Linked DNA regions of Astyanax mexicanus. The protein of the gene in region 1 interacts with the protein of each later gene in a pairwise test. Links are inferred from orthologs where the notes say so. Each region holds a gene or a part of one and is shown on either strand. Other genes may lie near its edges.

The links.
Region 2: the proteins of phaf1 (region 1) and bcas3 interact in binary tests that used the Homo sapiens proteins (3 or more experiments, as listed by UniProt). The link is inferred for Astyanax mexicanus from reciprocal best matches to the Homo sapiens genes PHAF1 and BCAS3.

The regions. Positions count from the first base shown.
Region 1 is NC_064416.1:22,469,944-22,485,974, forward strand, and holds the start of phaf1 (UPF0183 protein C16orf70 homolog), read left to right. Parts: upstream 1-7,711; 5' UTR 7,712-8,981; coding exon 8,982-9,045; intron 9,046-9,730; coding exon 9,731-9,813; intron 9,814-9,982; coding exon 9,983-10,066; intron 10,067-10,154; coding exon 10,155-10,198; intron 10,199-10,540; coding exon 10,541-10,620; intron 10,621-11,260; coding exon 11,261-11,355; intron 11,356-12,541; coding exon 12,542-12,639; intron 12,640-13,105; coding exon 13,106-13,218; intron 13,219-13,465; coding exon 13,466-13,599; intron 13,600-13,719; coding exon 13,720-13,803; intron 13,804-14,854; coding exon 14,855-14,937; intron 14,938-15,265; coding exon 15,266-15,309; intron 15,310-15,454; coding exon 15,455-15,504; intron 15,505-15,635; coding exon 15,636-15,694; intron 15,695-15,909; coding exon 15,910-15,982; intron 15,983-16,031. Other genes in the region: foxl1 (forkhead box protein L1), read right to left, coding at 2,195-3,280. UniProt on the Homo sapiens protein: Plays a regulatory role in autophagic activity. In complex with BCAS3, associates with the autophagosome formation site during both non-selective and selective autophagy.
Region 2 is NC_064425.1:942,427-958,275, forward strand, and holds the start of bcas3 (breast carcinoma-amplified sequence 3), read right to left. Parts: upstream 6,813-15,849; 5' UTR 6,726-6,812; intron 3,384-6,725; 5' UTR 3,366-3,383; coding exon 3,295-3,365; intron 1,871-3,294; coding exon 1,816-1,870; intron 810-1,815; coding exon 734-809; intron 1-733. Other genes in the region: nlrx1 (NLR family member X1), read left to right, coding at 13,679-13,787, 13,914-13,983, 14,082-14,161, 15,347-15,849. UniProt on the Homo sapiens protein: Plays a role in angiogenesis. Participates in the regulation of cell polarity and directional endothelial cell migration by mediating both the activation and recruitment of CDC42 and the reorganization of the actin cytoskeleton at the cell leading edge.

The DNA.
Region 1 (16,031 bases):
AAAAGAATCCTATACACAGGAAATGCTTGTGAATGTGAGTTCCCCTTGCTCAAATGTGGGGAAGTTTATTTATTTCCATGAGCATTCCTGATTCGCACTCTCTGAGGCTGCAGTGTGAGGCCACTGCGCTGAGTGAGAATCATGGCTATATATAGTGGCAGTGAACACGGCGGCGGCGGTTACCGAAGGGGCTGGTTCTTTGTACTAAGATTAGACTTTGTCCTAAAGATAAATAAAATTTATTGAGGAATTCTATTTAAAAGTGTTTTCAGCTTCTGTATTTGGTCTCACAAAATAGGCACGAGCCTTCAGGTTCACATCATGAAATTTAGGCCTAAATTGTGAGCAAAATGACCTTGTCCTGTTCAAGATCATGTCTCTTAAAGAAGCAAATCCTTTTTTTAAAAAAAAGTGGGTTTTGAGCGATAAATTATACAAAGACATACGTAGATCTGAACAAACGTATTTACTTATGTGGAAAAACAACACTTTATTTATACAACAGGCATCAGTTGTGTTTGCATCCCAGTCTTTCTTCCTTTTAACATCTGAATCAGACAGTTTCACCCTTGCTGTGTTTCCTTTCCCACTAAAAAGGTTCACAACTGTTTTCATCCATGAGGTACTTAAGGAGAGGAGAGAAGCTACGGCATTATACAATTTGTAATTTGTCTTGTATTCCTATTACAAGTGCAGAAAGGAGCATAATAAAAACCATAGTTCAAATAAACATTTACATTTACACAGCAACATCCGCGAGGGTTTGCGTCGCCCGGCTCTCCGCGGGTAATCCATCAACAGGAGTAACTACTGTCAGCCATTCATGAACCTGCAAATGGGCCACCCAGGCTGTGCCAACCCTGAATAATAATAATAATAATAATAATAATAATAATAATAATAATAATAATAATAATAATAATAATAAACTTCACTTTACGGAGAAGACAGGTTATGTCTTTTTCAAGCGTTTCTGTATAAAATATTAAAGTGTTAAAGTTACTGAATCTTATCCAGTTATTACAATAAAAAGCTGTAGTTTAAAGTTTACAAAAAAGAACTTATGGGCTGGATTCAGGTACTGTGGGCCATCAGATAGCTCAGGACAATATATTGTTTTAGCCACCCCATCTCAGTGTATGTAGAATGTGTATGTATAATGGGCACATTAAGAAAATTAACATTTTTTTGCTGCTTAATACTAAATGCAAACTCATACTGTTCTTGTTTTACATGATATATCTCCAACAGTCAATCACATCTGCTCAGCATAATTTACTCCAATCTCCAATACACAGACTGCATTATAAATAGCATGACATGCTGGATCACTGACTTCTGGTAAAATCTAGAGAAAATACTTGAGTCTTAATGTTGTAATATCACACGAAAACAATATTACAATGTCAGTTTATGTTTGTTTTCCATTATAGCACAGCCCTTTACACAGTGTGTTCCATAAAAATAGGAAACAACCTTTTTGAAAAACATAAATGCATAAATGGTGCTGCTTTACACACAACATTCCTAAACTGCACCAGCAGACATTATGGAAGGTCAGATTTATTGCAATTGATTGCAATTAACACTGTGAAATCCCATATATATTAGAATGCCAGAATTAAAAAGCTATTTATATGGGCAATAGGATTTTATTTATTAAGTAAAAAAACACTTATATAATAACATTCATCCAGAAAAAAATAATTTTACATTAATGTGTTCATTTAAACATCTCCAAAAGACCCATTGTGGAGTCATAGATATGTATTACATAGAACTGTATTACATACAGTTATCATCCAGCAACTGATTTGGTAAATCAGCCCTTAGTAATATATTAAATCAGGTGAGCAGGTGATGGAATTGATTGGATCTCATCTACTTTCTACAAATGAAGAACTGCAGGTGCACTGTTCTTTAGTGTGATCTGGAGTTTGTACCAGCAGAAACTTCCTTATTGCTGAGATTAATTGTTTTAAATAATGTCCTTTACAGGTGCCTGAAACATCTGTACAGTACTGTACATAATACAATTCGTGCTGTTACAAATGCCATAAGCTATAGATCCTAAATGAGCCCCATCTACTCTCAGCTGGAGGTGGGAATAAACAGGTGATTATTGAATTGTCCTTTGATACCTGATGGCCCGTATAGCTTAGCAGTCCAGCCTCTGTCCACAGCTGCTGCTCACTCAGTACAGTCTCTCTACAGACTCCTCGCTGTAGCGCGCGCTCTCTGAGGCAGGCCACGTCACGCGTACGTAGGAGTGTAGCGGCTCGAGCACGAGCGGCGGCGGAGGCAGCGCCGGTGTGCGCGCCCCGTCCGTGCGTAAGCACGCGCAGTTCCGCTGGACCGCGCCGACCTTCCGCGCTAGGATGCTCTCGATGCTGAACGCCTTCGCCCTGTCCGTCGCCTTGCGCACCTCTGGCTCCGGCGCGCTCCCGGCCAGCGGGGCGCGCGCTGCGAGGCTCTCCGGGTCCGTTTTGTTTTTTTGCAGGGGAGAAGCGGGGCTTTTAGACGGAGAGACGGACATGATCGCGCAGTGGCCAGGCTTGCCAGTTGTGGAGCTTTTGCGCGCGGAGGAGTTGGGTGCGCGCACCTCTCCATGACACCGGACAGCAAGTTTGGTACTCTCCCCGTGATGCTGCTCCTCCTCCTCCTCTTCCTGCTCCGTATCATCTTCATAATCTTCATCTCGCGCCCCTTCTCCCGCCACAAACCTCTCTTTCTTGTCGTGGAGTTTGGAAACAGGGCGCGCTCCCACCCGTGCGTGTCCTCCACGAGCCCTCTTTTGAAGCGCCTTGTCGTCGCGCGCCTCCTCCTGTCCCCGGGCCTTCCTCTTCCTCCGCCGGTAGTTGCCGTTCTCGAACATGTCCAGGCACTTGGGGTCCAGCGTCCAGTAGCTGCCCTTGCCCGGGCGCCCCTTCTCCCGCGGCACTTTGACGAAGCAGTCGTTGAGCGACAGGTTGTGGCGGATGCTGTTCTGCCAGCCCTGCTTGTTGTCGTGGTAGAAGGGGAAGTTGTCCATGATGAACTGGTAGATGCCGCTGAGCGTGGCGCGCTCCTCGGGCGCGCTCTTGATGGCCATGGCGATCAGGGCGATGTAGCTGTAGGGCGGTTTCTGCGGGGGCTCCCGGCGTGCCGAGGCCAAGCCCAGCGCCGGGAACACGCCACCCAACTCGCCGCCGTACACGTAGATGAGGGGCGTCGAGCCGCTGAGGCCCAGCGCCGAGGCGCCCAGGCCGGCCTGCGCTGAGCGGTGGTGGTACAGACTCATGACTGGCTGCTGGACGAGAGTTTCAGCCCGGCCGAAGAGCGGCACACTGAGTCCATAGAGCTGCCGTTGTGGTGGCCGAGCGGCTCGCTCTACCTTCTCTCTGAAAAATGTTAAATAATCGTTGTACGTTTGCTGTTTTATGTTGACTTAGCGCTGGAAAATAAATCGGCTATGATAAACACTCGCTGGCTTCTCAAGCCCACCCACATTAATTAAAAGTTTCATTGGAGAGAGCGGGAGAGAACCCGCTGTTTTGCTTTACACCCGCTTTCAGGGTGTCCCCGCCCACACAAGACAAGCCACGCCCTTCCAATGATACTATTGGCCGCTTTGACTTCTCATACCCGTTTTCCGGCATAGTTGTTGTTTTTCCACCTGTTTTACGGTAAGCCCTATAGTCTATAGTCTGATTGGAAAAATAATAACTATAATGGAACTATAAAAAAAACATTTAAACCAAGAATAAAGGATCATGAATCATGAATGGATCCACAAAGCTCTATAAAAAATAAGGAGTCTAAATTTCTTCAGACCGTCTCAGTACACACGCAAGACTCGTAGACAATCACAGCCCAGAAAGGCGGAGCTTGCCGGAATACAGGTGGGGAACGCCCCAGCTCTCAGCCTCGTGTCCCCTCGCAGCCAGCCAATGGCTTGCTCGCTTATTCCCCTCATTTGTTTACAGAATTAGGCTGTTGATAAGTCTTGCCCACCCAAGACGAATCAAGCTGTGTTTATTTGGAAAAATTTCCGGGCACCCAATACATAAACGCGCTGATCTGATGTTTGAAATATCACGTCCACCCCTCGACGCTGAGAGTTGCTCGCACAGAGAGAGAACAAGCAAACACGACCGCGACCGCTTTCTTCTGGGACTTTCTTTCAGGGACTGGTTGGAGAGAAAACAAGAGAATGTAAAGAGGGAAATAACTTCAGGCTCGCAGCACTTTCCCAGCGAACAGGAAACGTTAGAAGAACGTTCAGGAACATTTTAAAAAGGTTCCAGGGACGTTATAGAGAAATAAAGTTACAGAAATAACGTTAATTAAATAATTAAAATGTAATTAGATGTATTAGTCGTTTGCGTTACAACGTTACACACCCAACCTTTTAAAACGGATCTAATTAAACGTAGACATGATTTTATTTATGCATAATAATAACATTGCATTACTTTTTGTAAGATGACTCTTCAATAATGGTAAAACAAGTCTAGACAGATTAAACATTCTGAGAATCAAAAGTCATAACATTTAACAGACCTTCATGGTTTTCACTGAAACCCTGGGGTGTTCCTTAATATATAAAAAAACAAGGATGTATTTGTTCCTATCAACAACATTCTTCACAAGTGACCTTGCAAGAACACAATTGCAAAAACACAAAAGCAGATGACAGCTATAGAGATGCTGTGTACTTTATATTTTTTATATTAAATTATACTAATGTACTCTATAATGGTAAAATCTGCCTTTCATACTGTTTAATTAAAGTGAACTGTGAACTTTGGATGAAAGATTTCACAATTTAACATCTTTTTGCCTTCATGTCAGCACAGAATTTGCAGTAAATTATGAAAAAATCCATTCATTCTCATTAAGAAAATCACCAATCAATCATTCTTGGTATTCTTGAGTATAGGAATGTAAATTAGACAGTTGAAGATAACACTCAAGAACACACCAGAATGCATATTAAAAAACAACCTTGTGTCTACCTGCACCATAATCCATATGTGTATCTCATTTCATTGTTTAATTTAATTTTGTTGTTTTTTATTTTAAAATACTTGAGGTAAGGTTTTGTTCACAGGAAAGTCTGTGGAGCTTCATGAAACACTTGTGGAAAGTTGTGTTGAGTGCAGATTCTGCATATAATCTTAACTAGGTCCACATTTGAAGAAGCATCACAGTTGTGAGAATAGGGTGGAAGAAAGGGCCTATGACAGCAGCTATTTCCAAAAAAGGAGAACTTGGCTGGACACTGGGGTAAACTATATTATTTGTGGATGTGTGCATGATGCTTTATATTATGTATTTTCCTGTTTATAGGAGTGAGGGGGATTATAACAACTTTACAAGTGCACACAGCTGGCCCGTGATTACATTACGTGTTTGGAGGTTTCAATGGATAAACTTAGAAGTTTTCCTGAGTTTGACTTTTCTCTCCACAGACAGTGATTCATAAAGTTTTAGACCAAAATACCAGACCCAACAAGCAATGAGCCTCAACGTGTGGGGACCAGACATGTTCTTCTGTTTGACAGCAGTCACTAACTTTTTTTTATGCCAGCAAATGAATCTGTCTTGGTAAGATACGTTCTGTGTGTGATTTACTCTGCACGAATAAGTAACAAAAAAAAAACACTAAACTGATCAGAAACTTTTTATACAACAATCTGTAGCAAATTTACCTTCAAATATTAGGGAGAATCATTGTCTCTCTGGGTCATCAGTACTGTGCTATGATAGAGCTGAATGAGACCTCTCAAAAGAACTGCTTGATGTTGGCAAAATGATTAATATTTTTGTAAAATCCTGTAATATTACCTTAACAGCTCAGTTCATGTCCTTCTTTCAATTCATACGCTGCTGTATTTGCTGGTTCTGCATTTCTTAGTTTGACATTAAATGCATGCAACTCCAAAGCATCTTAACTCTTACTTGTATTCACAAATTGGCACCATAATACTGTTTAATGTCTGATTCCAATTACATACCTGTATTCACACCCGAAAGTCTGGATTGAAAGTCTGGAGCCTGTATCAATGTTTGTTACATTGCCTAATTGTGATTTCACACTGCAGTTTAGTGAGCAAACTAAATAACTTCCTATCATCATCAGCTGTATGTGGAATGAGTTATCCTGCACTGTGATTATCCTAACACTGGTTCATCACACCCCTAGGTTACTTTATGACTAAATTTAGAACTATATCATTATCATTACAGTCCCAATTTGTAATATATTAATTTGTAATATATTAATTAGAGGATCCCCATCCAGCACAGCACCAGCCAGGGGAGGCAAACTGCAGACCTTAAGGGGACCGAGTACAGCTGCTCTTAGCAAACTGATTTAAACATTAAAATTATGATTCTGATTCACTGCAAGTTATTTGTGAGGTGGATCAATTGTTTCTGAAGCAGTAAATAGTTGCCAGTGTTCAGAACAAGGAGTGCCCTAAAGCAGGATTTAAAAAAAAGTAAGCTCACAATGAAAACTATCCTCAAGTTTATTTGAGTTATTAATACTGTGGGTACAGAGAAGGTACATATCCTGGATAATGGCCCCTAATTTGTGCAGTTTTCTCAAATAACTTTTCAGTTGTGCACCCATTAAAACAGTCAATTACATGCTGCCCTCTGGTGGGAGAGAGAGAGAAAGAGAGAGAGAGAGAGAGCATATCTGGCAACGGTTTCAGTAGGAACAGTGACTAAAGTGACATATTATTTTTACCAATATATATAAATATATGGTATTCTTCATTAGTCAGAAAATGATCAAGCATTTCATGTGTTGGATCAGATAAGTGACAGCAGAATTTACTTTTATTTTAATTCGAAGGCCAGGGGTGTCCCCAAGATTTGATTGCTATCTCTGAGCAAATATGTCAAACCGTTATTCATGTTTGTTAACATTATCTTATAGCCTTGATATATCATATTACTGCCACAGGAAAAAAGGTGATTAAGGATACAAGATAATATACTGAGGCAACAAAAATACATTTAGAACACAAGGTAATATATTGTCTCATGGTCTCAATTTTGTATCTTGTGGCCTCTAAATAATATGCTACAGCCAAAAGAAAACAATTATTAAGGCCAAATGATAATATAGTTAGGCCACAGATGTATTGTAATGTATTACCTTATGGTGTCAATTTCGTATCTAATAATAATATATATAATATACTGAGGCCACAAGAAACCATACAACTTAATATATAGGTATAATTAGGTCACAAGATATTATCTTATCTATTATCTATCTATCTATCTATCTATCTATCTATCTATCTATCTATCTATCTATCTCTCTCTCTCTCTCTCTCTCTCTCTCTCTATCTCTCTCTCTCTCTATATATATATATATATATATATATATATATATATATATATATATATATATATACCATTCTGAGACAACAAAGTAATAAATTGAGGAACAGTATAATATACTGAGGCCACAAAATAGTAAACTGAAGACAGTAACGTTATAGTATAATATAAAGGGGGTTCAAATATGAGAATGAGGCATGTGGAATAATGTATTAAATGGAAGTAAATTAGGTTAGGTTATCTTTTTTAATCAGTTAAATTGGGCTAAATGGTGAGGTATCCGGCGTGTTCAATGTTTTAACTCTGTTTAATGACTGCTAATTTGAAAAGGCACCACCGGAAGTGTTCCTCCCGCCGCACAGGAAGCTGAAGTATCAGCTGATGTTGGTGTTTTTGATGGAAGTTGCGGTGGGAGCTGAGCGGGGCTGTTTATTCTCCTCAGCCCGAGAGAGAGCACTCAGCGCCGGACACGCACCGAGACACAGCACGGCTACACGCGGCACAGCGGCAGCGCGGAGCGGAGCGCCGGAGGAAGCGGAGCGGAGCGCTGTGTGAGGAGGAGGAGCGCGGTGTCGGAGCTGTCTGTCCGCCGCCACCGGAGCCGCTACTGCTGCTGCTGAACCCGAGCGGAGAAAAGAGAAAAACAACAAGGCGAGGCGGCGCAGGACAGCCGGATCCGCTCACTTCGGACAGATCACCAGTCGGATCCTGCTGCTTCCGACCTCAGCGGGACGGAGATAACCGCCTGGATATCTGATAGGAGATAGACAGAAAGAGCACAGCGCTGAAGTAGAGCGACAGGCAGACTGAGGAGTAACGGTGTTGTTTTTATTGTTAGTGAGAATCGACAGCTGACGTGTTTTCAGTTCAGGAGACGGGGCTAGATTGCATCATCGGACTGGATATCTGGTTGTAAGTTTGGCAGAGCTCGACTTTGGAGTTCAGAGCTGCCGTGTAACAGCAGATTTTCAGCGGGTTGTGTTTTAAACCTGTTTGTTGTTGCTTTGTTTCTTTTTGTAAACGCTGTTGAACTCGTGAGTCAGATCGTCCATATTTATTGTTCTGGTTTGGCAGTTAGGTTAAGTTAACAAAACTAACTTAAGCTAGGGTTAAGTTTACCTGTGTTTTTTATTCAAGGTGAAGCTTTCATATTTAACTAGCTACTTAACCTAACACACTTTTTAATGTGTTTTAAAGATTTTTTTCGTCAATTTCGATTGTGTTTGGGTAGCTAGCTAACCTGGCTAGGTTAACCCAGCCACCTAGCGTTACCTTGGTAACTAGTTAGATAGGTTAGCTAGCTAGGCTACTTTTTTCACATTATTTATTTAACCAATAAACTCGCTGACACTGTTGAACGTGGGTAAGAAAAGTTAGGATGGTATTTTAACGTTAACTTCGTTAATACTGAAAGCCGTGTTGTTTATTTAGCTTTGACAGTATTGTTCACGACACAAGCTAACGTTATCTAGTTAGCTATACGTTGATGTCTCTTATAAGAGAGGCGGAGCTAAAAGCTGCTGCGTAACAACAGCGGGGTCTCTGTCATCCGCTCAGTGTTAGTTAGTTAACTAGTTAGTTAGTGTGGAAGGACAGGTCCAGATCTGGCACAGTCCGAGAACCCCGTTGAAAACCCAATGCTGGATCTGGAGGTGGTTCCTGAGCGATCTTTGGGAAATGAACAATGGGAATTCGCATTAGGTAAGAAACAAGTGCTAGGAAAATCCCCTTAGAACAAAGGTTGAATTACCTCATGTCTATTTGCACTCAGCTCATGCTGCTCTGTTCAGTTATTGCCTCACATTTAGCTCTGGAAAAAAATAAGAGACCACTTTAGTTTCTGAATTAGTTCCTCTGATTTTGCTATTTATATGTAGATGTTTGGGTAAAAGGAATATTGTTGTTTTATTCTATAAACTACAGACAACATTTCCAAATTCTAAATAAAAATATTGTCTTTTTGCAGAAAATGAGAAATGGCTGAAATAACAAAAAAGATGCAAAGCTTCCATACCTCAAATAATGCAAAGAAAACAACTTCTCATTCAAGGTTGAATATTTGGTGGAACAACCCTGGTTTTTAATCACAGTTTTCATGCATCTTGGCATGTTCTCCTCCACCAGTCTTACACACTGATTTTGGATAACTTTTTGCCACTCCTAGTGCAAAAACTCGTGTGGCCATGCATCTCACTTTTGATTATATTCCAGAGGTTTTTAATTTGGTAAAATCAAAGAAACTCATCATTTTCAAGTGGTCTCTTATTTTGAATTGGCAAATTGTTCCATTGAACAGATCTGCTCACTGTAAATTTTTTAATTTTAATACAAGTAATCATGTAACGCAAGGAAATAACTCACTGTCTGCCCCTGTATCTGTTTGAAGGGATGCCATTGGCCCAGGCCATTTCCATCTTACAGAAGCACTGCCGAATTATCAAGAATGTCCAGGTGCTCTACAGCGAACAAGTAAGGCCAGACAGATCATTATTGTGTGAGAAAAAACATAGAAAGATCTAGTGTTTGAACAGAATTTGTTTTTTTTACAGGTTGAGGTGAAAATTAATAATGCATAGCTGTGCAACTGTGTGTCATTTACATCCTCTACTTCAATCTGACCTATTCTTCTGACTTGCAGATGCCACTCAGCCACGACCTCATACTCAACTTGACTCAGGATGGAATTAAACTGCTGTTTGATGCCTGCAACCAGAGACTAAAGGTTTGGAACAAATCATGTTAATGTTTGTTTGTCTATGCTTTTTAACATATATTTGTCCATTTCACTAAATGTTTGTTGGTATTTGCAGGTAATTGAAGTGTACGACTTGAGCAAAGTGAAACTGAAATACTGGTAAGTGGATTTATTTTAAATGCTACTTTGTGCGCCTATAATTTTAAGCTTGAATATTGATTCCTCAGTCAGAAGAAAACAGAAGAAAAGAGCAGGGCCAGGCAAAAATGGGTTGCTGGCAACTGTGCACTTGTGTGTAAAATGTTATCACCAAGACACTTGTACATTCACTGGCCACTGAAAAGGCATCTTGTTCTATGTTAAACTGATCTTTTAAAAAATGCATGGTGGCCTAAAGGGACCTTAATGAGATGTAGCACCATCTGTTGGACAAAAAACTGGCTTAATGCGAGTTAGTGTGTCACCTCAGTTCTGCACAAACACTTATTTTTTGTTTTGCAGTGGAGTACATTTTAACTCTCAGGCAATAGCACCTACCATTGAGCAGATTGACCAGTCCTTTGGCGCTACTCACCCAGGAGGTAATGCTTTCAGTCTTTTTCCCTGACTGTAAAGAGTATTTAAAAAATACAGATTTCGTCACTTTATGCTTAAATCAACTGTGGAACAATGCAAACCTGGGCATTTTATTTATCATCCAAAATATTCATTTACACTATGTATATCATTCGTATTGGGACCCCTTGTGAAGTTTTTATGAAATCTCATTCTAAATACAAAGTCATTTAATATGGTGTAGGTTCCCCCTTTTCAGCTTCTAACTCTCAGCAGAGCATTGCAGACTTATCTGTACTATGTTCCTCTGCTGTCTGTTAGCCTGCGTTGTAACTTTTTATGGTTCCTAATCACGTCTACTTATCAATATTACAACTCTCAGCTGAGCTTGAAATATCCAAATGGGAAGAAATTTCACCAACTGACTTTTTGTAGTGGTAGCATACAGGGTGTGCCCACCAATTCTTTCTTTAATGTTTCTAAATGCAGAATGCATGGCTATCTCTGGCAATGGGACTGGATGAAATGCCTGAATTGCTTTTGTCTAAACGTTGTTTCTATGTGTGATGATAGTAAAATAACTTTTTTCAAATGTAGTCCATCAATATGCATTAAAACATTTCAGAAAGAAGGTTTTGGTGTTAAGTTTTTGTTTTATGTTCCCAGTCTACAATGCTGCAGAACAGCTCTTCCATCTGAACTTCCGTGGCCTCTCCTTTTCCTTTCAGCTAGATTCATGGAGTGAAGCCCCTAAGTATGAGGTAAGCCAGTCAAAACCCCCCGCTGAGCCCTGCTCTAACTGTCTCTGATTGTTTCTGCAAAGTCTTTACCACTTTTTCAAGATTTCGGCAGTGCAGCCATTAAAACATGCTATTAATCACATTTTTTTTTAGTAATCATTCCCAACAAATCACATTTGTATGTGTTAGTCCAGTATGAGTTGGCAAATAAGCATGACCAGTATTGATTTATTATTTATTACCTTAATTTATTCATTTAAAATTAGATGTTCATGGATGATATTAATTGTATTGCACGTTCTAACCAATGACTGTAAATCTCATTTGTTATTACATAAACTGTCAACAGTTCCTCTCTAGTTATAACCTCTGTCTTGAAGAGTCTCTTGAGAAGAACTAACACATTGCTTTTGCTCGCTTTCTTCTCATTTATTTTTCAGTAGTTCTCCCACAAGTGTAAGGTAGTCTGCTGAAGGTATTGCTTTAAGAGCCATTGTTAAGACCTTGAACTACAGTAATAGAATTATTGGTGCTGTATTAATTTAAATTCTTCTTTAAAATGGTCTCACAGTAAATGTTGTGGTAAGGACAGGTAAAAGGTTCTATTCTCTTGATTGTTCCATAAAGGACATAGATTAGGACAGTGTCAACAGAATGTGGTTTGGCTTTGCTTTTATAGCAGTCTTATGATCAGTTTTCTCAGAACAATTTGTTGTGATGCTTTGCTGTCTTCTAATGGACTTTTGCTACCTTGTGGATCTCAGTTATGTACATTTTCAGAATCCTAGGCAGTTTCAAAGTAGAACATTGTAAAAACAATGGCCATTATACAAATATATATTTCAGATCTTGGTTTTATAGTCCAGATGTTTTAATTATAAGTGTTTTACTGGTATGTGTTATTCTTGTTTTATTCATGGTTTTGTTCAGTATTAGCAGTTCAGTCTGTATTGCAATCATACAGTTAATCAAAGAATGACTTACTGAGTTCTCTGGTTACACAACCAGCTAAGGTTTGGCCCATCACTGAGAGAAAATTGTCACGTTAAGTCAAGCTTATTTATATAGCTCTTGTTGATCCAGAGCTGTAATTAGCTGCTTGATAATGCTATGCTATGAATGTGCCAGCTTTCTTTTTTGGCCTTGTTTGCTACAAAGCAACACCTACACATGCGTGCAACTACTCCTAGTTGTTTTGCCTTGACAGCCTAACTTTGCCCATGGCTTGGCCTCCCTGCAGATTCCTCATGGGGCTACAGTCAAGCGGATGTACATTTACACTGGAAACAACCTTCAAGAGACCAAGTAAGAGCTCTGTGTATTTGTGTGTGTACACATGCCTGTACATCAGCACCGTGTGTGAAGTGTTCAAAAAAGGACAACACTGCTATCTAGTGGTCAGGCTTTAATAGATCCTGTGGTACAGTATTGCAAACCTAATGGGACTGTTTTCCAGACGTGGATTAAACCTAGTCTTGGACTGTGCAGCATATTGTATGGATATTTCCTATTGAAAGAACAATGCAGTGTAAAACTAGGCTTTATCCCTGTCCCTGTCTTAGATCTATCTATATATATATTTGTTATTTATTTCTTCATTTTTGTACAGTACATTAGAGTGCAGAGTGGACTCATCAGAGATCAGAGTACGAGTATTATTTAATGTACCATTTCCTTTCAGATGCTGTAAATGACCAGGATGTTGAATTAGGTTCAAGCAGCAAACACTTAGCGCTCTTTCTCTCTCTCTCATTCTCTTTCTCCCTCTCAGGGCTCCAGTAATGCCCCTAGCCTGTTTTCTGGGTAATGTGTATGCTGAGTGTGTAGATGTTCTGAGGGATGCGACGGGGCCACTGGGTCTGAGACTGCGGCTTCTCACTGCAGGTACAGAACTTGGCCGCGTCCCCTGTGATGCCAGTGTTCTCCTGTTTACTTGATTTTATACTGTTGTTTTAAAACAGCAACTTTGTGGAAAGGTATTTATGTGGTTTCTTATTAGTTTTGTGAATATTTGTGAGATCTATAAAAACTTTGTTTTTCCTCTCCACTGAGAGGCGATATGTTCTAAAACAAATTCAGTGTGCCAACAGTGTCCCAAGTTCAGAGTTGCATGTTGAATATTCCTGCTTAGGATGTGGTCCAGGAGTAATGGCTGATGCGAAAGTGCGGGCCATGGATAGAAACATCTATTTTGGGGATTCCTGTCAGGACGTCCTGAGTGCTCTGGGCTCTCCACACAAAGTCTTCTACAAGTCCGAGGACAAGGTAGTAAAGCTACAACCAACTTTTTTTCATCAAACAAGTTTTATCTTTGGTTTCATGTTCAGCTGAGAAGCACGTATCAAGATTTACATGTGTTTCTTTATAACCTCTCTACCTTTTCAGATGAAGATCCATTCTCCCTCTCCTCACAAACAAGTACCGTCCAAGTGTAATGACTACTTCTTTAACTACTTCACCCTGGGAGTGGTAAGTTTTGTTGCCAGAAAACCAGCAGATTTCGTGCAGTGCTTTTGAGGTCTTGGCCAGTAATAACCTATAAATACCACATTGTTGTGGCTAATACCTGTGCCAGTAACTGATCATTTCCTTCTCTTCATTATAATCATACGTAAAGTCCTATATTCATATATACATTGCAGTGAGAAACCGCGCACTGGGGTTTATAATGTGTTTCAGAAAATTACTGCAAACGAATGACAGTAAATTGGATTTTCCAAATACTACTAGATTTCTAGGTGTATCTAGTAATATACAAGAAAAAACTCACCTAAGGAAAGCCTCACAATTGTAATGCTTAACCTGCTTGTAATAGGGAGAATAGCATTTCTATCATTGCTACTCCGAGTTATGCATGCTACTTACTAAACTATGGTGAAGCGGCTAGGACAGCACTCACGAAAACTGTTTACTGATGCTTAATTCAAGTCATATTTGCATTAAATTCTGGAATATTGTTCTCCTGCTTTACTAGTCATATTTTTTTTCCTTTCATTTTCAGTTCTATATCTAAATTCCATGTCTTGCAATATATATGAAATACCAATTCTAGCTTAATCTTTCCTATTGTTAAATATTCTGTAGGATAAAACAGTGGCAAACACAGTAATCTCACGCACATCCAACCATTCTATAACTTCTCCAATATTAGTATCCTAGAGCTTGTCTCACAAAACACAACAGAGATGTGAAAATGTTAAATGATTGTAATATAGGTGATATTTGTAATGGTATAGTGGTATTATTTTATTTTATTATACACTGCCATCCATTTCATTGAAATTGCACACCACTGTTTGACTAACACAAATATTAAATGGAAAAAAACCTGTTAATATACCCATTCATCATTTAGACACCTTATTAGATTTTAGACATAGCACTGGATGGCATAATTATTTTTGTTATGGCTTTGCAATGCTTTATGATCTGCTGTAGCTGTTGGTATTGATCCTGCAGCTTGACAGTTCAGTCCTTACTTTTGTTTAAATAATCGTAATTTGTCCTCTTTTTTTTTCAGGACATACTATTTGACTCTGTGACTCATCTGGTGAAGAAGTTTGTTCTTCACACCAACTTCCCTGGCCATTACAATTTTAATATGTAAGTGTAATTCAGCCTCATTTTAGCTGTGTTGCTGGAACTGCCTTGATAAACGTGTTTTTTTTTGGGATGTTGCCCTGGTTAAAAAAAATACATATTTCAGTATCAAAAGACCTGAAGATGTGTACAATGGATATATAGATGCAGTTAAATTTTTATGAAGCTGCTTTGCAGTTTTCAGTTGTAAAAAAAAAAATATATATAGCAAGTTTGGCATTTATATAATTCACCAGTGTGAGGAATTTGAAAATGTGTTAATGTTGCAAATTGAAATGTTACAAACTGCAGATAAATGAATTATATAATACATTACATTTTCCAAATTTAGATACCATCGATGTGATTTTAAGATTCCACTCATCATTAAAAAAGGTGAGTGAATGTCTGTTGTTTTCGTACAGCTTTTTCTTTCGAGTTATTTTTATGCATTCCCTAGAGCAATGACTCTTAATAGCTTCTAATGGAGCAGATGTTCTGCCTGGACTTTGTTATTCTTACGAGTGTGGTGATTTTTCAGATGGCACGGATGCTCAGGGGGAGGACTGCATCCTCACCACTTACAGCAAGGTGATAGCGCCCATCTTCTACATAAGCATATGCACCATAATTGTATTTTTATATATGTCAGAGCAGTAGAAGCTGGTATGATCTGGTATGATATGTAGGAATGTGTTAAACATGTTTTTCTTCCCACTTAGTGGGATCAGATCCAGGAGTTACTGGGGCATCCAATGGAGAAGCCAGTCGTACTTCATAGGTAAGATGCATAGCTTAAGATCATGGTCAGAGAGACTTAATGAAAAATGTTTAGAAGGGGGAAAAAATTGTATAATTTGGCGTTCAGTATAATTCATTATACATACTTTACCATACTTTATACATACTTTTCATTGTAATTCATTACACATATTTTAGATTCTTTGGAATTATTTGTGTTTAATTCACTAAGACTCATCATTCACTGCTTTTCAGGTCATCATCTGCGAATAACACCAACCCCTTCGGATCCACATTCTGCTTTGGGCTGCAGAGGATGATCTTTGAGGTAAGATCTGCTATAGTATATATACTTGATTGAGAAAAGATGGCGAATA
Region 2 (15,849 bases), on another chromosome or scaffold:
ATTCACGTTACAAGCCTTTCTTTTTTTTTTTTTTTTTTTTGCTTCTGCAGATTTTTTGCTCAGATTGAATTTGGCTTCACATCTTCACTTATATAAAAGGACAGTTCTTTGAGAAATCTACTGTCAGAGAACACCTAGCCAAGCTTTATGTGCCATTTTAAAAGTAGAATTGAATTTTTAAGGCCTTTTTAAGACATCGATAAATATAATTTTAGGTCCAAAAATGTAGTCATAACTTTAATGTTAGCTAGATTTCTGCTTATCTTAGTTCTCTCCCTGGTAATGTTAGCTAACTCGCTGCTAATGTTAGCTAGCTCTCCAGTAACCTTAGTTCTCTCCCCAGGAACATTAGATAACTCGCCGCTAAAGTTTGTATGTTTATTAATTGCACCGTCTGAAAATGTTATACCTACAGCACATTTACAGTAAATTTAAATAAATTTTAGACCTTATTTACCTGGATTTTAATTTAAGACATTTTAAGACTTTTTAAGGACCCGCGGGAACCCTGCTAGTGCCACAGATTAGCGCTTTAGATGCATCAAAGTCTGATAGAATGACTGCAGTTCCCGGTTTAACTGTATGACAAATGACTAACCAACAATATGCCACGGGACAAACAATTAAACAGATATATGTGCATTAGAGATGAAACAGAGAAAATATAGGAAGGTTTAAAGGAAAAGAAAAGCGAAAGAGAAGAACATAATTTTTTCTTAAAACAAAATCGTACCGTTGATGTCTGCCTTTTCAAACCGAACCCATATGATCTTTTCCTTCTCATCTGTTGGAGGTGCACCTGTATATGCCTTAAAAACAAACAAATAGCAACTGTTTTTTTTTTAACTAAGAAAAATACATTTCTAATCAAGCATGTTTATAAACCATGTTTATAGTGAATGTCCACTCCCCTTTTGATATAAAAAGCATAGTATAAAGCATAAATCACAAAGTGAAAATTAAATAGCTATATTTCACTGCCAACCGGAATTATTAAAAACACAAACAAAAAATGTAATAGTTTGTCCTCATTTGTGTAAAAAGTCAACATATTTTTATTACACTTTTTGTAATTAATTAAATAATACTCATAGGTGCAAACATATTTTTAAATTACATAATAAGGCTGCATGTGCCTTGATGCTAAAACAGGCCATGTTGATCATTTGAATCATTTTAGTTTGATTTTTTTAGTGTGATGATGTAATATGGTGCCATATCACCCACCCCTAATTATCACATCAGGGTTCTACTTTTTTACTGTTTTTAACAAAAGAAAAAATCACACTGTTCTCATTTCCCATTATATATCTACTAGATACAGATTATATCTGTCCAGTATCATTTATTTTACTTTAATTCTGGATATATGGAGATATTTGGAGTGTAGCATTATTATTATTATTATTATCCTGATATTCTGGATCATTGACTTCTGTTACAAATCTGATAAAAAATCTTGTATTTTTTTTTTTATATCTCAGTTAGGGGTGTGTCATATCATATCATATTGTACGCAATAGTAAAATTAATTTTCATTTTGTTGCAGTAGTGTATTCTTGATTATTTTTTTTAATTCAGTGTTTTGTCATGTCGACAAGTGTATCGTTATCATGAAAATACTATGAAATATTGTGATATTATTTTAGGGCCATATCATCCACCCCTAGGGTACACTACCATTTGGGGTGAGAGGCAAGGCTTACTGAGCCACATTTATCATATTAAAGAACTGATAACGTCTATGTATACTTGTATTAACATGCTTAATAACTCAAAAGAAGCATATAGAAGAAATAATATAAAAGAGCTTACCTGAGGAACCACATCTTGCAGAAATGTCACAACACTTTCCATGTAAGACTGTTCCCTGTAAAAACAGAAAAACAGTTAAATCACAAAATGTAAAGGCAAAACAATGTACACTTTTATAGATTATATAAATTTCATTACAAAGAATGTACAAGTTAGCTTCCCTGCGTTATCCCTCTAAGCACATTTCCCATTATTTAACTTAATTAAAAGTTATTTGTCGGTTCACATTCACTGTAAATGTAAGTGATCTGTATCTGTGTGTAATGTGAACGAATCTGTTCCTGAAACACCGTCTCACATGCTGCACATTGATACCTGTATAAACGCCTCCTTCTTCACCAACAACAAAAGCCCTCATATTAGAGAGAGGAGAGACTCGTAGGTTTATAAAGGGAAATGGATGAGTTAGCAGCTCATATGTGGAGCATCTTTTGCTGGAGTGGAGAGTAAACAGCTGCTCTGAAGTTCATGTTCAGGTCCAGGAGGAGAAAAAAGGCCAGGCGGTTTGTTTTTGCTGAGAAGCACGTAGCACTATGCTAATGCTAATGCTAATGCGTAAAAGCAAAAAGACGCGCACATTCAGATTTGACCGTTAATATTAATGTCACATATCCGTGGATCGGATACATATCCGATTTAGGACTACATATGAATGTGACACAAATCTGATTTGAAAAAATAGCATTTGGCACGTTCACACAGCCATGAAAAAATCTGATCTGAGACACATTGAGCAAAAAATCAGATTTGAGTCACTTCAGTCTGGTAATGTGAAAGTAGCCTTGAACACATACAGCTCGTAAAAAAAATTAAGAACCACTTCAGTTTCTGAATCAGTTTCTCTGATTTCGCTATTTATTTATAGGTTTGTGTTTGAGTAAAATTATTTTTTTTTATTCTATAAACTACAGACAACATTTCTCCCAAATTCCAAATAAAAAAATATTGTCTGAAATAACAAAAACCTCAAATAATGCAAAGAAAACAAGTTCATATTCATAAAGTTTTAAGAGATCAGAAATAATCAATATTTGGTGGAATAATCTTGGTTGGTTTTTAATCACAGTTTTTTTCATGCATCTTGGCATCATGTTCTCCTCCTCCACCAGTCTTACACACTGCTTTTGGATAACTTTATGCTGCTTTACTCCTGGTGCAGAAATTCAAGCAGTTCAGTTTGGTGGTTTGATGGTTTGTGATCATCCATCTTCCTCTTGATTACATTCCAGAGGTTTTTAATTTGGTAAAATAAAAGAAAATCATCATGTTTAACTGCTCTCTTATTTTTTTCAGAGCTGTATATTGATATTAGATTGCACAAATTGATTTCTACTAAGCACAAAGAAAGAGCAGCATAAACACTGACTAAACCTTAAAGAATAATAATCTACAGATGAGTCAGACAACAATCCATACTGACCCCAAACAGACACGACCATAAACCAACAAACTACAGAAGAGGAAGAGTTTTGTTCTTACGTTGCAGCCTGAGCTCGAACTACGACCCCTCCAGCACAGCGGCTTGGTCTGCGTGGGGAGTCAGACGCCATGATTAATCAGTCAGTATCCTGAGGGAAGAGAGAACTGGTTAAGAAGGGCAAGTGTTGAGTAATTTGGTGTTTTTTGCTTTAAGCACTTATACAGGGTAGCCCACACTTCTTTTTAATAACTACATTACTGTCATAATTTACTACAACTTCCTAAAGTTGAACATATAGAAAAGGAAAAGATATCAACATCTATTTAAAAGTACCCTGAAAAACACATAAAAAACATAGTCAGCACTACACAACCGTTCATACAAATTACATATACACACACGTTTGTGTGTGTGTGTGTGTATATATATATACACACACACACACATGTGACATATATATATATATATATATATATATATATATATATATATATATATATATATATATATCACATATAGATCATCCACACAACACTAACACAACCATAATACACCTATAACCATCCTATTCATACAGCACCTTTAACCAAATGTTTCTATATGCACACACACACGAATACACACAAACAAATGGCAGATACATATCTTTATTACTTCTGTTTCTTTATCTCATTATTTATTATCTCATTATTTCATATATCTCTCTATTCATTCCCACATTCAAAACAAAAAGCTTATTTCCTTCTTTATTTCTTTATTTGTTTTTGTAGCTTTTGTATTTTTGTATCTTTGTGTTGTTGTTCTTTTTCTTTTTTTTTTTTTTTTTGCTTTTTTCCTTCACACCCCCCCTCCTTTTTGCCTGTTATCTCCTTATAAGTTATCTCCTTATAATATGCACAATGACCACAGATACTACAAGAGTAGTGTGCCTCTAGCAGCAGAATTTGCTTTGGCTTGACTTTTATTTTAATTACTTTCTCAATAAAACAAAAGCTGAGTCAGATCTGACCTAATACAGAACCACTGCATTTAGTAAAGGACAGTGGTCGTTTCTGCATATTATAAGGAAAAAATTGTATGAGCAAAACAGGATAGAGGCAAAACAGGCAAATAGTACAAAACAACAACAAAAAGAAAGCAAAACAGCATAAAAAAAAAATAAATAAATGACTTTTAGGAATGAAAATATGACAACATCTAATCAGTACTATGTTTGTTTGTTTTGTTTTGTTTTTTGGTCACTGCAAAACTGTGGGTTAAGGATTTTAGGATTTTTGCTAGTTAACTAAATAACTAGTTAGCTAGTTAGCTACTTCAGTGAACAGTTATTTTGGTCCACTTTAAAAACAGCATGAAGCTAGTTAAGTTACCTAAGCTATCTATCATTCTTTTTCAACACATTTCATAATATACCTATTCACAGTTAAACATTATTTTAAACTATATTTTAATGCAGCAGAAAACAGATATAAACTCTTATCAGCTGTTTATATCTGTGCGGATTTTTGGAGTTCTGGCTCTCTCATTCAATCCTAAGAAACTAACCTATCTACTGAATGACTGGCTTTAAATGAACGAGACTATAGATATGCAATACCAACACATTGAAGTATTAGTTAGCTACCTAACCTAAGCAAAAATGTACTCCTTGCCATGAAATGCTTTTAAAGACAGTCTGCTCACACAATGATGCTTAAAATACTTAAAATAATTCATATTCTTTATCTAAGGAGAAAGAAGAAATATAAAATTAACTTTTAAATATAAATTGTAACTAACAAAGTACTTAGAAATGTAAAATAAAACTATAAAATATGAATTAACAGTGTAAGAAATACTACTCGCAGGTTGGTTAGCTTAGTTACTTATTGAGCTAGTTGGGTAAGTTAGCTACTTCAGTAAAAACAGTTATTGGTCCACTTTAAAACAGAATGAAGCTATAGTTACCTAAATAAGCTATCATTCTTCTTCAACACAATTCATAATTAAGTTATTCACAATTGAAAAACATTATTTAAAAGCATATTTTAGTGCAGCAGTAAAAACAGATATAAACTCTTATCAGCTGTTTATCTCCCTCAGACATTTCAGCATAGCTTAGCTTTAGCTAGTTAGCAATACCTCCTTAAACCATTGTGGACATAATACAGAAATAATTATATAAGCAAAATAACAGGCATACTGATATATAATATCTACAAAGTATAAGTAAGTATAAATTAGCTAATCTAATTAAAAATTTACTACTGTTCTAGCCATCAACACTATCATATCCTACTACTAGCAGGTGAATTAGTTAGTTCTTTGTCTATAGTGCAAGTTATTGTGTGTATTGTGTATATTGTGTAAACTGTAAGGTTAACTGTGTATATTGTTTTTTATTTTATTATTCTACTGTGTTGTAAATATTGTTCTCTGCATGCTAGTGGGAACCTGCTCACAAACTTTTTCATTTACCTGTACACCTGTATTTTGTGACGTTACAATAAATATATTTAATCTTGAATCTTATTTATCTTGCTAGTTAACTAAATAACTAGTTAGTTAGTTAGCTACTTCAGTGAACAGTTATTCTGGTCCACTTTAAAAACAGCATGAAGCTAGTTAAGTTACCTAAGCTAACTTATCATTCTTCTTCAACACATTTTATAATTAAGCTATTAAACTCTTATCAGCTGTTTTATCTCCCTCAGACATTTCAGCATAGCTTAGCTTTAGCTAGTTAGCAATACCTCCTTAAACCATTGTGCATATAATACAGAAATAATTATATAAGCAAAATAAGAGGCATACTGACTATTAATCTATAATATCAACACAGTATAAGTTCTAGCCATCCACACTATCAAATCCTACTACTAGCATGTGAATTAGTTAGCCGTTTGTCTATAGTGCAAGTTATTGTGTTTATTGTTATTGTGTGAGTTGTGTATACTGTAAGCTTAACTGTTTATTTTTTATTTTATTTTATTATTCTACTGTGTTGTAAATATTGTTCTCTGCATGCTAGTGGGAACCTGCTCACAACGTTTTCATTCACCTTTACACCTGTACTTTGTGAAGTGAAAATAAATATTATTTAGCTTGCTAGTTAACTAAATAACTAGTTAGCTAGTTAGCTACTTCAGTGAACAGTTATTTTGGTCTACTTTAAAAACAGCATGAAGCTAGTTAAGTTACCTAAGCTATCTATCATTCTTTTTCAACACATTTCATAATATACCTATTCACAGTTAAACATTATTTTAAACTATATTTTAATGCAGCAGAAAACAGATATAAACTCTTATCAGCTGTTTATCTCCCTCAGACATTTCATCATAGCTTAGCTTTAGCTGTTAGCGGCTAACTGTCCCTCTCTCTCAGACACACAGACCCAGCATTACTCTGAACACAGACAGTAATATCTGCAGACCCCGGACTCCCTCACACACACCGCTCCGCTCAAACAGCGGGAATAAAAACAATTTACACTCATATTTACACTCACCTGCAGCGCTGCGCCTCAATTCAGCTCTATAAACACAGATCTTCCCAAAACGCGACAACAACACCGCGCAGGCTACGTACAGCGGAAACAACAAACCTAAGAACCAATGGCAGCGCCGCGCCGCGGGCGACCGACCAATCACATCGCGCTGGAGGCGGTACAGCTTCCACGTTCAAAGCCAATCAGATTGAGTCAAGAGCTGCATCGTTTCTTTCAGTCACTTTGGAATAAACAATAAAGTTTAGAGGAATGTAACTATACACAGTGGATTGTCTTAAAAAAAATAAAATAAATAAAATAATAATAATAATAATAATAATAATAATAATAATAAATAAATAAATAGCATTATCATACAGACGCATGCATTTATTTAAATTATTTTTTTTATTTTAATTAATGTAATTGTTATATTGGATAAATACTCCCAAATGAATGACTAAGCACTTGCGTAAGAAAAAGCTCTGAATAAAAGCGTACATATGTAGTTAAATGTAATAGTAAACATCATATTTTTATTCTTTTGTAAAAGAAAAGGAAAATGCAGACCCTCTTTCGATATGTTTATTTGTGAAGTTGCTTATATATTTTTATTTTTTATATCTTTTATTACCATATATGGTAAAGCAATAAAATAAAAAATAAAAATATATTATTTGTCCTTTAAATGTATTTATTATGCTCCTTTGTCATATGCATGTGTATCACCTCTTATTCTTTAATTGAAAGTTGCATTAATCATGATGCACTTTAACCTTTTCTCCTTTTTTTAAAGCACTGATTTTTTCTCCATTTATACTGTAATTGGTGGTGATTAAAAGAAAAATATGTTTGTGTGTGTGGTGTGTGTACTGTGTGTGTGTGTGTAGGGGCAGTTCAGGTCACGTTGCACATATTTGGCCAAAGTAAATACAGTACATGTACCACAAGGGCTACAAAAATGCTGCAAAAAATTACTTTTTATTGTGTCATTTATTTTCATAATATGTAAATAAAGCAAGATTTAATTTTTAAAGCTGAGATTTAATTATTTGTCTATTTACAGTAAAGCTTGTGTGTTTGTTATATGGCCAAATATTAAACCTTGTGTTTTGCATGTGGTAATCAGTGTTGTGATAATCCAGTGTTGTGCTGAAACATTACTCTAATTTGACAACCTCACCATTCTACTGACTGTATTTTGCAGTCATATACATAAATATTATACTCTGTCAACATGCTCATGTGGGGCTAACGTGTGTGTAGTGTGCATTTTTTTTTACAGGGGCCTAGTAGAGCTTGAGTTGATTTCACGTAGGTCCCATCTAGAACCCCTGTTCATTAGTTGTTTTATGCTGTTCCCAGCTCCTAATCATAAAGCCCAGTTTCCCAGACAGGGATTAAGACTAGTCCTGAGCTAATATAGTGATTGAACTGAACATACCCATTATAGCCACAAGATGGAGCCAACACATAAAACATAAGGATACAGTAGAGCAATGTATTACAATATAACAGTATTTTTCTGCACTTTTTAGTGCATTTCCAAATGAAATATATGAAATATAAATATATAATAATATAATTATATATTGTTGTTTATTTTATAAACTATGGACAACATTTCTCCAAAAATATAAAATAAAAAATATTGTCATTTAGAGCATTTATTTGCAGAAAATGAGAAATGTCTGAAATAAGGAAAAAAAATATAGAGCTTTCAGACCTAAAATAATGCAAAGAAAAAAAGTTCATATTCATAAAATGTTTTAAGAGTTCAGAAATAATCAATATCTGGTGGAATAAACCTGGTTGGTTTTTAATCACAGTTTTTTTTTCATGCATCCTGGCATCATGTTCTCCTCCACCAGTCTTACACACTGCTTTTGGATAACTTTATGCTGCTTTACTCCTGGTGCAAAAATTCAAGCAGTTCAGTTTGGTGGTTTGATGGTTTGTGATCATCCATCTTCCTCTTGATTTTATTCCAGAGGTTTTCAGTTTGCTAAAATCAAAGAAACTCGTCATTTTTAAGTGATATCTTGTTTTTAGTTTTACAGAGCTGTATATATATATATATATATATATATATAGATATATATAGATATATATAGATATAGATAGATATAGATAGAGGGGTGTTGTGCTGTGTGAGTACAGGAAGTGTGGGTGCTGTCAGGCTGGACTGAACGATCGCAGGGAGACATTTCTCTGTGTTTTAGTGACTGAAATACAACAACCTGACTGAAGCTGCGATGAGATAATGCTCAGTTATTGGTAAGACCTTCTTTTAATTTAGTTAATTTACACAGATTACCCTGAATAACGCTTAATAATCCTTATATCCTTATTCTTCTGCTTAGTAACTCAAGGTCGCTGCTCCGCTGCAGCAGCTAAGATACAAACACAGAGACTGTCTATGTGTTTACACCGTTTAACTAATAAATAAATAGCTTATATACTAAAACACAGGGAATAACAGACTCAGACAAACATACAGCAGGGCTTTAAACTCTTATAATTAAATGCAGGAACAGAGCTGAGCTAAAATAACCGCGTTTACAGCGAATAAAAGCTGTATATTGCAGAGGTAAACACAGCTAACTGAAGCTAACCTACCGTTAGCCTCTTCTCCATAACCTTAACCTTAACTAGCTAAAGCTAGTTACCATAGTAACATAACCTAGCTAAACAGCAGTGAATGAATAAACGATTATCTATCGATTAATATTTATTGATTTATTGACCCACTGAAATGAGCTGTACCCCTGTATGAATGAAGTATCTGTAAATATAGACTGTATCTGACAGCTGCTGTTCGTGTTTTATTATTTTTGCCCAAATTATTCAATTATTAACTGTAATGTGCTGCCCTGTGTTACTGTAATGTAACGTTAATGTAATTTAGCTAATTAACTGCTTTAAAATGCACCAGGTATCACAATTCTGCTTTTTATAACATACTGCGATACCATACTGTGTTGTATAAACGTGAAAATACAGAAAATAGTGAAAATAATGTGCTCTGTTCGTCATTGATTTCTTAACCCTCCTTTTACATTTAAATTTACTAGATAACTTTTTTTTATCCCAGGAGTCAATTTGACCCCAGCAAGTTTAAACTCTGGAAAAGGATCATATAATAAATAAAACTGTTACCCACGTTTATGTCACGTGCTATATTTGTTTAACTGCTTAAAATCCTTAAAAAAATAAATAAATAAATTGATGGTATATTTAGTTAAGAGAAAAAAGTGTTCAACTATTTAGCTGTATTATTATTATTATTATTATTATTATTATTATTATTATTATTATTATTAGCTGTATTATTATTTTTTATTTATTAGTAGTAGTAGTAGCATTATGACAAATGTTATTTGTATAGCACCTTTTTAAACTCCGCCCACAAAGTGCTTTACAGAAAATAGAATACAAACAGAAATGGCTTATGAAAACTTATGATGCCTTTATGTCACCTTTGCCAGAATAAAAAGAAAAATAGCAAATTAAAAATACAATAAAAACACCAGTCAAACGTTTGGACACACCTTAAATTAAGTGTTTATCATTCTTTTATTTTTTTTCTGCATTGTAGGTTAATATTAAATTCATGCGAACTATGAAGAAAAACATGAAATTGTTTACTAAGCAAAAAAGTGTCCAATTTTTATTATTATTATTTTATTATTATTTATTTTTCTATGATAAATGATATTTGTATAGCTCCTTCTTAAACACAGCTCACAAAGTGCTTTACAATATACAAAATAGAATATAAACAGAAATGACAAGGTTGTGACGTCCTTATGTCACCTTTGCCAGAATTAAAAGAAAATAATAAAAAGTACCATAAAAATAATTTAAAAAAAACATTTGAATTGATTGATTTATGAATATAGTTCCCATACTCTAAAGAAATGAAAGATATGCTATATTAAAACTGAACAGCCTTGAGTACATCTACCACAGGTGTTTTGTATGAATGCATTTTATTTGTAGTTATGGCCACGGACATATTACAAACAATATTACATGTAAAGAAAACACCTTCTGTATCTAACCTAAACATCCAGGTCAAGATCAGCTTTTGCATGTTAGTGGGTTTTGATGTGCTTAGCTGTTTTTTGACGTCCAGAAAACTCAAAGCACTTAACAACACAGCAATATAGGCCTATCGCAATAATTCCAATATCGATTTATCATACAATAAATGAACATGACCTCAATATTTTTTGATAATCGTGATATTTTTCGTCTATTGTTATTATTTGCATGTTTGATCACATATATAACAGTGAACAGTATTTTGACAAGTCATGCTTCAATAACTGTTACTTCATAGTATATTTTTATGCTATTGTTATCATTATGTCAGTGGCATTTAATAGTCTTAAAATGACAAAAATATTGTGTATCGCAATAATTTCTTAGACAATATATCGTCCACAAAAAACCTTATAGTGACAGGCCTACAGCCATAGACAAAAGGTATAGTGCATAAAAACAAGCATGCATACAATCACTTACACGTTACAGTGCAAGTATTTAAATAAAAAAAAATGATAATAAAATAAAATAAAAAAATAAATAAAGTATACAAGTAAAGATATATTAACAGCAGTAAGCTTCCCTAAAAAGATGAGTTTTGAGTAAAGAGTTACGGCTGTCTGCAGCACAAATATTTCTGGGGAGCTGATTCCTTAATATAATGTCCAGTTAAATCCACTTAACATTTTAATGTCCATTGCATTAGAAGCCTGTGTTTAATTTTTTTTATATATTTATTTGATATTGACCTTTTTTACGTCACAACCCATTCATACATAATAGTACATAATAATAAAATAAACTCTAAAACAACAATTAGCAACAATTAGCTTTTATTACTTTGCCTCGTTGGCTTTAGAGTGCTGCTACACTCTAATCCCTGAGCTGCTGTTAAATGACTGTTTCATTGGCTTGTCAACTTGTTCATTGGCTAGTTTTTGCTCTATTCTGATAGATTCTGTTAGTTATTTGCAAAAAAAAAAAAACATTAAAAACTAAATTGCACGATGTCCATTGTAATAGACGCAGGGTTTGAAAGGAATAAACCTCTTTTTGTCAGGAACGATAAATATAGGACTGTGTAAATGATGATGAGGCTAATTAATGTGAACAAAGATGGAAATAATGTCTTTAGATAAATCTGTAAAATCATATTTTTACACAAAAAATAAAAAAACACACAGATGCACATCACTTGGATTCTTATTCCAGTTTCCATTTTCGCATTAAACACGCATCAATTACACGCTAGCTGCTTTAACGTAATAAGAATGTGAACTGCTAGCGTTACTTCTGCATCATTTTTAAGGGAAAGAGGAACAGTGAATACGGAGCTAGTTTCTGCTTTCTCATTTCTGTGAGTCTTGCATGCTCTATTACAAAATTATAATTATAATTAAGTCTTTCCATTAGTTCTAATAAGCATTCTCATGAGTTTACTCATGTTTTAAGTAAGATTAGTTTATTTAAAAGGTTATACTTTAATGCAAATACCAGTTAAATTAGTGAGAATACAAAAAGCACAATACTATTAGTGTGAGAATTATAAGGGAGCTATTTAAATGATGGCCTCATTTGGAGATTTGCATATTCAAATTAATGATGCCAAGCATGAATGGCCAGTAGTTTTAGGGTATTTTCACTCCAGCACTGTTTGGTTCAGTTAAAACAGACTCTGGTTGGTTTGTACCCTTAGTGTGGTTCGCTTGTGGTGAGAACGTGATCTGGTCTCAATGTGACTCTATCTCAACTTATACACTCCTTTTATTTAAGCAAAACTGCTGATAAGGTGCAGTTTAATCTGATATATTAGCCAGATAATGCTAATTATCACAGCTATGAACAAATGCTGTATCTGCTGCTCCATGCTGTTTACACACTGAGCAAGGGCTGTGCAGTGTAGTGTTCACTGCTCGCAGCCACGTGACCTTGTTTAATAAATGTACATCTGCAGTGAACGTCTTATTAAAAACACTGTGTTTAAAAGCAAAGCAGCTTCACACTGCACAGATATACAGATATACACACCGGAACACAGAATTTTTTCCATATATTTACTTTCTTGCTCCCATGCCAGACAGCTCTGACCAATCAGAGGAGACGATGTCCTTGCATGGTTTATTGGTGCGCTTTTTTTTTTTTTTTATAATTTTATTAAATTTTTTTTCCATTTTTTCTCCAATTTACAAGGCCAATCACCCCACCCCCTCATCAGGACACCCCCAACACACCAGGAGGGTTAAGAAGACTAACACACGCTTCCTCTGATACATGTGAAGTCAGCCACCGCTTCTTTTCCAGCTGCTGCTGAAGCTGTAGCATTTCCGAGTAGCATCACAGCGCTAACACTCGGAGGAAAGCACACAGACTCGGTTCTGAAACATCAGCTCACAGACGCCCTGTGCTGCAGACATCACCCTAGGAGTGATGTGGGGAGAGAGCGCCATCTACTGTACCCACCCGGAGGGAGCAGGCAGCTTGATGGTAAAGCTGCATGAGCGGGGGTTCGAACCTGCGACCTCCCGCTCATAGTGGCAACGCTTTACCACTCGGTGCTTATTGGTGCACTTTTTGGTGCGTTTAGGTTTATGCCTGTGTAAAACCAAACCAAACAGAGGGAGAAACTGAAGCTCCAAATAAACACAAACTCATCAACTGATCCGGATCATAGAAACCAAATTTAAAAAAAAGTAAAAAGCTATAATGACCATTCTTTTAGGTAGGAAAGCCATTTCTCTCACCCCTTACTCTGTTAACCAATGTTGGCTTCAGTTCTGTTTTCTTTTCTTGTTAGCTTATAAACAATTGTACGATGCTTCCTCAAGGTGAGAGGCATAAAAATCTCATTTCTCTTATTTTGTGTGTTTTTAACAAACAGTGTTCTGTAATGTTTTATATTAGGTGGGGTCTGGAAGGAGAACAGAATGTGGAGATTTGGGAGGACGACCAGAACAGGAGTTCTGAAAAGGACAAGATCCTGTGGAGCTCAAAAAGACAAGCTCCAAAAAACATACCCAACCTTTACACAGAGAAGTACAGTTATCTCATTTATCTTAACTGCCTTTATATACAATCTGATTAATTTACAGCTGATTTGCATTCAAACTCTAATTTCTGTTGATTTACTGATTTGCATTATATATCTATATTCTTTATAAGGGGCTAATTTAAGTCTTCCTCCAGTCGGTGTCTGTCATGCCAGAAAGACTGGGCCATTCTTATTTCCTGAGTAAGATAATATGAATTGAACAATCTCATAACAAATAGTTTTATTATTTTTACTTTTTATAGTATAAATGAATAATTGAAGTCATCTGTCTTCTGTAGGTGGATCGGTCTCTTTGGAAGTTCATGGAGTTCTTCATCCTGTGCCGTGAGGTTGTATTGTTCTGGCGCATCCAACACAGGTGAGTTAGGATTTTGTTATTTTTGATGTATATTTTTGGGGTTTGCACTAGGGGTGGGCAATATGACCCCTTAAATAATACCACGATTTTTCAAGCTATTTTTATGATAACGATACTCTTGGCAATATGACAAAACAAGGAATTAAAAAAAAAATAATCAGGAATACACTACTGCAACAAAATGAAAATTACATTTTAATATTATTGCATATGTTATGATATGGCGATATTAAAGAATACAAGAATTTTATCAGATTTGTCACAAAAGTCAATGATACAGAATATCATGATACTAAATAGTCAAGTAAATTGCCAAAAAAAGTTGTTTAGGACTATCCTGTGTTGCATTCTTAAGTTTAATAAAATGAACAAAATAAATAACAGGAACGTATTTGTCTTAAACTAGGGCTGGGCTGTTCATTAAAAATTAACTAAACATGACAGACATTCATGACCAAATTGAAAACCTCAAAAGCCATAAAACCAAACTGAACTGCTTGAATTTTTACACCAGGAGTAAAGCAGCATAAAGTTATTTAAAAGCAGTGTGTAAGACTGGTGGAGGAGAACATGATGCCAAGATGCATGAAAAAAAAAACTGTGATTAAAAACCACCACGGTTATTCCACCAAATATTGATTATTTCTGAACTCTTAAAACTTTATGAATATGAACTTGTTTTCTTTGCATTATTTGAGTTCTGAAAGCTCTGCATCTTTTCTGCATTTCTGGAATTTGGGAGAAATGTTGTCTGTAGTTTATAGAATAAAACAACAATGTTCATTTTTACTTAGTTGTATTAGTACAAATAAATGCGGCACTTGGGGAGACCCATCCAATATGGCGGCCAGCTCCAATAGATGGCACCGGTCTATGTATATTATTTCTATGGATGCAACACAAAAGAGACATCGTCAAATACTGAGCCATTCCTGGAGCTCAGTGGAAAACATCATGTCCGTCAAATAATCGAATGGTTTATTGATCGTAATCAATAAAGTAAAGTAAAATGTTCAAATAATCCTGTTAAAGGGTTGTCTTCATATCGCCCAGCTTTATCCCCAATTCCCAGTTATTGGTTATAAGCTATTATAGAGTATTTATACTTTTAGAATATTTTATTTTTCATTTATTGACTATTTTTATTTTTATTTAATTACAATTTTTCTTGTTTTTGACCCACAGATCCCATAGAGATCCACAAACACAAGTTAATGCTGTGGTTTAATCACTTACCTCAGGAGGAAAAGCAGTTTGGTGGGTACTTTTCTCCTGAGACCATGCACGTAGAGCCACTCATCCTGGAGAAGCGCCCGGAGGAGGGTGAAGGCTCTTCCATCAGCCCGTACAGGGAAAGTGCTTCAGTGAGCAGATCTCCCACAGTGGATCAGCTCTTTCACCTCAGTCAGAGCGAGGAACATGGCAGAGGACTCAACGTGCTGCTTTACGGGGCCGTCGGTACGGGGAAGAGTACGGTCGTTCGTAAGCTGGTGTTGGACTGGTGTTCTGGATCAAAGCTCTCCCAGTTTAAACTGGTGGTGCCCTTCTCTTGTGAGGATCTCTGTCGTTCGTCCAAACCCATGTCCCTCAGGGACCTTGTGGGCAGGAAGTACATGCACCTCCGCAGGACACCGTTTCTCAGCGGAGAGGGAGACCAGGCCAGGGAGGTTCTCTTCATCTTTAACGGC